2 linked regions of the Saccharomyces cerevisiae S288C genome follow. The gene in region 1 interacts genetically with each later gene. Each region holds a gene or a part of one and is shown in the gene's direction. Other genes may lie near its edges.

Region 1 (3,761 bases):
ATTTCATGCCCATCGTCTGTTGATTCTCACACGTCTTCCATTTTCGACCAGCATTCTACATGCACTAAAATTTCCTCCATAGATGAAGATTCTGAAGACCTTATGAACGAAAAGAAGGAACAATTCCCCAGGAAGTTGAAGTTTAACCAAGCCGTGATGAAGAGGGAGATCGACTCAAAGGGGACTATCCGCGAATCCCTCATCAACATAAACGATATCCAACATTCCCGCCACCATCGCCGTCACCATCGTCGCCATCATCACCATCACCATCAAAATAGTTCTCATTCTGATGAAACAATAAAAGAAGCTCATTATGAGTTCAGCAACTATACATTTGGCACTATGGAAGAAGACATTTTTTATAGGAACCAGGTTGTTTTTTAAAGGAGAGTTTGCTCTCTTCTGCATTTCCACATACACATTTGATGTTAATTTACATACGAGTATACTCTCGTACACAACATATATATATATATATATGTAATATATTCATAGCACTTACTTATTAATGAAGGCCATAAGCCAAACAACATCTCACCATTTTTCTTCAGGGTTTTCTTTAAACCTTAGGTAATCCTCTTTGTTGAAAAGCGAAATTTCGGTTTCATTCTCAATGCCATACTCGAACAGCTTTTTTTTGTCATTCTCTATGTCTAAAGTCCAGTCGTCATCGTGGTCAAAATTGATCACGAGATTAACCGTCTTGGAACCATGTGCGTGCGTGTATATCTTTAAAGTATCAAACTTAACATTACGGAATGGTCTGAATGAACCTTCATTTTGAATTTTGTTCAAAACGTCATTGAACAGGTCCTTTGCAGTTTTATCAGCAAGATCGTAATCGTGCAGCACTATGTTCTTGACGTTTCTATATGGGAAAGATTTTATTACTCGGATTGTAATAACGGAGTTCTTTAGTGGTCTGGCATTTGAGGTTAATGGCTCTTCCAAGTCATAATCATGAAAGGTTGTTGACATTTTCAGCCTTTTAGTTGAATTCATGAAATAATGCAACCAAACAAGAAAAAATTTGGGGGAGGTAGTCTACGCATTTCAGTTCTAACTTCCTTCCTTTTCTTTCACTATTAATTGAAACTTATTTTCATTTTTTTTCTTTAGCATTGAACGCCGAATCTAAAAAAGTAAAGAACTCCTCATAGGGGGCTCGAACCCCTGACATTTCGGTATCCTTGCTTAAGCAAATGCGCTTAAAAGCCGAACGCTCTACCAACTGAGCTAACAAGGATGAGTTCTTCGGAGGGCTAACTCATATAAATAACTAATAAAGGCGAAATAGTGGTCACCACCATCACACTACACCCATATCAACGACAAGAGTTTAATTTGACCGTGGAAATTTATTACTGCTGATTTGGGTTCTATGATAAATCCTCGTAACGTAGAGACTATGTTTTTATATGCGCATTAAGTGCCGGAAAACGTGAGAAATAGGCTTTCCGGAGCATCAAACCTGAGGTTTCATAAATTGTGTTCGTGAAGGATGCATTCCAGAGGGCCATCCATCCAGCATAAAAAGAGATCTACAAAGCAATTATGTGGTTTCGCCATTATCCGTAGGATGACCTAAAAAATGGTAATGATTCACGTGATCTAGAAACTTTAACGTGTTATATCATTCAAGGCGTAACTTATACGCGCGGGGTACCCTATCATATCTAACACACGTACCCTGGGTTAATGCCATGATCGTCTTTGATGTATCTCTAATGATCATTATTATTTTTTCTTTTGCTTTTAACATGAGTCAAAGCAATATTCTTATGTTATATAACTCACCCCATGTGCTCGTGGGCAGTGACGCACGCAACTTTTTCTCTTGCAAAAAATGGCATCGATGCTTTTCTGGGGAGGTGATATTAGAGGAGAAGAAGTCACAGAGTGCTCTTGGATCACGATCCCTCACTTGTACTTGTCCACTTATCAGCGCCGTCCAGTTACATTTGGAGAGATCTTTTTTTAGCCTGGCCTTCTTTGCTGTCATACTACTTTATATTCCGGGATAAAATATAAAGAAATATTAGTTAGGAAAAAATTAATAGGGAAGAAAGATCTAGAAGCAAACAGCAATGACTGCCGTCGCCTCTACTAGCGGGAAGCAAGATGCTGACCATAACCAGTCTATAGAGTGTCCAAGGTTTTCGCGTGGACAGAAAGAGATTTTGTTGGACCATGAGGATGCGAAGGGGAAGGATTCAATAATCAACTCCCCCGTGTCAGGGAGGCAATCAATAAGCCCTACTTTGTCGAATGCTACTACCACGACTACGAAATCTATTATGAATGCCACCGGCACCTCCGGCGCAGTAGTAAGTAATACTCCGGAGCCTGGTTTGAAGAGAGTCCCCGCCGTCACTTTCAGTGATCTAAAGCAACAGCAAAAGCAGGATAGTCTGACTCAGCTGAAGAACGACTCAGAAAGGACCAAGTCTCCAAATAGTAATCCTGCTCCTGTCTCAAATTCCATTCCTGGCAATCATGCAGTTATACCGAACCACACCAACACTTCAAGAACAACGCAATTATCTGGGTCTCCACTCGTCAACGAAATGAAAGATTATGATCCTAAGAAAAAAGACAGTGCTCTTAAAATAGTTGATACCATGAAGCCTGACAAAATCATGGCCACTTCAACGCCAATAAGTAGAGAAAATAATAAGGTAACCGCCAAAGCCCCCACCAGTATTACACTTCGAAAGGAAGATGCACAAGATCAAGCTAACAATGTTTCAGGCCAAATTAATGTGCGTTCTACCCCGGAAGAAACGCCAGTGAAGCAGTCCGTCATTCCTTCCATCATCCCCAAAAGAGAGAACTCCAAGAATTTGGATCCCAGACTACCTCAAGATGATGGAAAATTGCACGTGTTGTTTGGCGCTACAGGTTCGTTATCGGTATTTAAGATCAAGCCAATGATTAAAAAACTAGAAGAAATATATGGACGTGATAGAATAAGCATTCAAGTTATCCTCACTCAATCAGCAACACAGTTTTTCGAACAAAGATATACCAAGAAAATTATCAAATCTTCAGAAAAACTAAATAAAATGTCGCAGTACGAATCCACTCCGGCAACTCCAGTGACACCAACACCAGGACAATGCAACATGGCTCAAGTAGTCGAGTTACCCCCACATATTCAACTATGGACCGACCAAGATGAATGGGACGCATGGAAACAACGAACTGATCCTGTACTTCATATAGAACTACGTCGCTGGGCGGATATACTGGTAGTAGCTCCATTAACTGCAAACACATTATCAAAAATTGCTTTGGGCCTGTGCGACAATCTTCTGACAAGTGTCATTAGAGCTTGGAATCCGAGTTATCCCATTCTTTTGGCACCTTCTATGGTGAGTAGCACTTTTAATTCTATGATGACAAAGAAGCAACTACAAACGATAAAGGAGGAAATGTCCTGGGTCACTGTTTTCAAGCCGTCTGAGAAAGTTATGGATATAAATGGTGATATTGGTCTCGGGGGTATGATGGACTGGAATGAGATTGTTAACAAAATCGTTATGAAATTGGGTGGGTACCCAAAAAATAACGAGGAAGAGGACGATGATGAGGATGAGGAAGAAGACGACGACGAAGAAGAAGATACAGAAGATAAGAACGAAAACAACAACGATGATGATGACGATGACGACGATGACGACGACGACGACGACGACGACGACGACGACGACGACGATGATGACGAGGACGAGGACGAAGCAGAAACCCCAGGTATA
Region 2 (3,761 bases), on another chromosome or scaffold:
TCAATGACGAGGATACTCTCATCTTCAAAAACAATATTGAATCCCGCTATTCTGCCAGGTAAATCCTCCGCTTCAACTTCCTGGCTACACCATTGTTTTACCGGCGGTTCGTGCTTATGCGTAGTTGTTTCTAAAACATCATGATTCTTGATTATGGTAGTCATGAGATGATCTGGTACCAGCGGCACACCATCTCGGATCAACCTATATGTGCCTTTCCTTATTTGGTCCAAATAATAAGCTCTTGGGCGAAGTTTAAATTCACTAACGAGAACGTCTATTAGTAACTTACCCAACCAGCGCCCCTTCACGAACGCTGATCTTCTGTTATAATAGGGCCGTACCTTTCTCAGTCCATTCTGTGTATATACCTCAATAACTTTGATAGTTGACATACTTGACAATCATCCTTTTGCCCACTGATTGTCTCGAGCAATCGTCAATAAAGTTTTCACAAGAAACATTTATTTGCCTTTTAATGAAAGAAAAAAAGTAAATTTTTCATTAACTTTTATCATTGTTATCAATCTTCTTGTATGACAGCAAGCTATATATACATACATATGCAAATCTAATGTACATAATTTCAACTATTCATACCATTAGTACCATAAAGTCATTCTTTTTACTGTAAACTACACTTGCATTATCCTTCCTCGTCCCTCTTTATTCTTATAACGTTGAACAGTGATTTCTTACCATGTGTATTTTTGTACTCAACCCGCAAAAGATAAGCATCCTCATACAGAAGTATTATTATTACCACTGTTACTTTTATTGTCGTTATTTGTCTTGCGTTTTTATGTTTATGGAGATAAAGTGGGAATGACTTTATCATATGCAATTATTAGCCGCTATAAGGCTAAGATTCTTCAAATTTATTTCATTTTTCTTTTACCCTTGCCACCCTTGCCCAGTTGCTCCTCCTCTGCGGTTAGCAACGCATCGCGCTCCTTTTTAGCTCTTGCTTTTTCTTGTCTTTTTTGCTCTTCCTCTAATTTTTTGGCATTCTCTTTCCTCGAACCTTGTTCCCATTTAGAAGCTTCCTCCGCTTCTAGCTGCTCCATTTGTGCTCTTTGTTTAGCATGTGCCTGATCTCTTTTTCTTGCTAAGCCAGCTGCTTTCTTTGCGGCGGATTCTGAAAATCTTTTACCCATCTTTTTACTTCCTCTTTGCTATTCTATTATTTCCTGTATAGGCAGGTTTTGTGCTCAATTGATAAATTCTTTTACCTATTAAATATAAACTTGAGTTTCAACTTATTCAGCTTTATTTTAAACATTATACAAGTTTTTCATTTTGAGGGGTCTTTAACTGGAAAAAAAAAGCTTTCACGACTCAAAGAAAAAAAAAAAAATTTTTTTAGGGTAAAAAAAAACTAAGGGCTAATATGAAAAATACAAAGGTTATGTTACTTTAAAATGAGGTTTGGAAGAAGGAGAAAGACAAAAAAGCAGGGCACATGTCAAACTCTTGGAAACTTGAGATCCTAGCCCTAACGCATGTGCTACTTCAAGGAATTCTTCTTATATATGACAACTATTCCAATTTGATGCTAAAACTAGCCCAAAGTGGTTGATGCTGTATCAATTGGTAAAGAATCCTCGATTTTCAGGAGCATCCAACGACGAAGATGAGGATTATTAAGGGCAGAAAGCGAGGCAAGAACAAGAAGCCAACGCTAATTTTAAAAATTCATGTCATTCAAGCTGAAAATATTGAAGCCTTGAAGACATTCAATTGTAACCCGGTATGTTTTGTTACCACTAATACATTTTATAGTCAAAAGACGAACAAGCTCAAGAACTCAAATACACACTGGAATCAAACCTTGAGGATCAAACTTCCGAGAAATCCAACATCTGAATGGTTAAGGATTATAGTATACGACGCCCTACCAACCGGAGCTCCCCCTACTACCCCCAGTAGACCAAGGACAACCACTGCAAATACATCTTCATCGACACTGTCAAATTCAGGGCTAAGTTCTCACTCTCATTCGTCGAGAAATTTGAATGTTACGTCCAAAGGTAATCAAACTTCAACATCAATTAATTCAGTATCATCTTCAGCTACACCGGCCCCTTCACATTCTTCCTCTTCTCTCTCAACAACAGGTCCCGGGTCCACACACAAAAATAGGATTAATAGCTATCTATATTTGGGTGAAGCAAAAATTTCATTACTGGATTTATTCAAGAGGAAGGACACCACGACGAGCTATAAATTTTCAATTGAAGCTCAGCGGTACCATCTATACGATATGAAAGGAGGGAAAGACCAAGATTCCTTGAACTGCAACTTTCTAGTGGGCGATATTTTGCTTGGATTTAAGCTAGAATGTAACGTTAAAAGAACCCCGACTTTTCAGGCTTTCAATGCTTGGAGAAATGAGTTGAACACTTACTTGGGCAGAATAGATAGAAATAAGGCCCGCATGAGATCTTCTAGTTCTTTGCCACCTCCACTAGAAGATATGTTGAGCAATAGTTCAGCTGTTAGTGGAAATGAAATACGACGCGAGAAACCATATAGCGATACTGATCTAGCCCACGATGAAGAGGTCAATGCCGAGGATGAAATAGATGCTGAGGAATCTATTGAAGATATGAATAGCAGCGGCAGCATTTGTACGGAGAGGAGGTACGATATAGACAATGATACTATATTCGACTCTATATCTGAGGTTGTTTCGCTAAATGATGAAGAACTAGATATTCTAAATGATTTTGAAGAAGCAGATCATCCAAATGTGCCAGACATAAATGTGCATGACATCGACGAAGATACCCGTATCAGTCTATCTTCAATGATAACAGCTTTAGATGAATATGATATCGTAGAACCAGAAGATGTTGCAAAATTACCTGCAGTGTCGGAAAATGACATAACATCAGTGGATGACGAAGAATCTGAAAACCAACAGGAAAGTGATGAGGAGTTTGATATATATAATGAGGATGAGCGTGAAGATTCTGATTTTCAATCAAAAGAATACATTGGGAGTCGGCTTTTACACCTGCAAAGGGGTAAACATAATAAATCATATGCAAATTACTTATACAGAAGAGCAAAAAGTAACTTTTTTATATCGAAAAAGGAACATGCGATGGGGGTAGTATTTATGCATATTGGGGCTATCAAAAATTTACCTGCATTAAGGAATCGGTTGTCCAAGACTAATTATGAAATGGATCCATTTATCGTTATTTCGTTTGGTAGAAGAGTATTCAAGACATCTTGGAGAAAACATACTTTAAACCCAGAATTTAATGAATATGCCGCTTTCGAAGTTTTTCCCCATGAAACGAATTTTGCTTTCAGTATCAAAGTTGTTGATAAAGACTCATTTTCATTCAATGATGACGTTGCAAAATGCGAACTGGCTTGGTTTGATATGCTGCAACAGCAACAACATGAAAACGAATGGATACCTTATGAGATACCATTGGATCTCACTGTTGAGCCAGCACATGCTCCTAAGCAACCGGTATTATATTCGAGCTTCAAATATGTTTCATATCCGTTCTTAAAAAAGAGCTTTTGGAAAGAAGCTGTTGACACATCAGTCAACTTAGAGAGACTCGACATTATTCAAGTAATGCTCTATCTTGAACGTCTTGGTTCATTCACGATGGCCGATTCTTTTGAACTCTTTCAGCATTTCAATAAATCTGCTTGGGCCGGCCAGAGCATTACTAGATCACAATTAGTTGAAGGGCTACAGTCATGGAGAAAATCCACTAATTTTAAACGCATCT

What was found.
Region 2: mutations in SIS2 (region 1) and PSD2 together harm fitness more than expected from each alone (negative genetic interaction), as found in Saccharomyces cerevisiae (2 studies listed by BioGRID).

What each region holds. Positions count from the first base shown.
Region 1 is NC_001143.9:576,453-580,213, reverse strand, and holds the start of SIS2 (phosphopantothenoylcysteine decarboxylase complex subunit SIS2), read left to right. Parts: upstream 1-2,090; coding exon 2,091-3,761. Other genes in the region: YKR075C (uncharacterized protein), read left to right, coding at 1-387; AIM29 (Aim29p), read right to left, coding at 538-1,005; YKR073C (uncharacterized protein), read left to right, coding at 1,707-2,027. UniProt on the Saccharomyces cerevisiae protein: Component of the phosphopantothenoylcysteine decarboxylase (PPCDC) involved in the coenzyme A synthesis. Acts as an inhibitory subunit of protein phosphatase PPZ1, which is involved in many cellular processes such as G1-S transition or salt tolerance.
Region 2 is NC_001139.9:835,509-839,269, forward strand, and holds the start of PSD2 (phosphatidylserine decarboxylase 2), read left to right. Parts: upstream 1-1,633; coding exon 1,634-3,761. Other genes in the region: pseudouridine synthase PUS6, read right to left, coding at 1-395; LSO2 (Lso2p), read right to left, coding at 879-1,157. UniProt on the Saccharomyces cerevisiae protein: Catalyzes the formation of phosphatidylethanolamine (PtdEtn) from phosphatidylserine (PtdSer). Plays a central role in phospholipid metabolism and in the interorganelle trafficking of phosphatidylserine.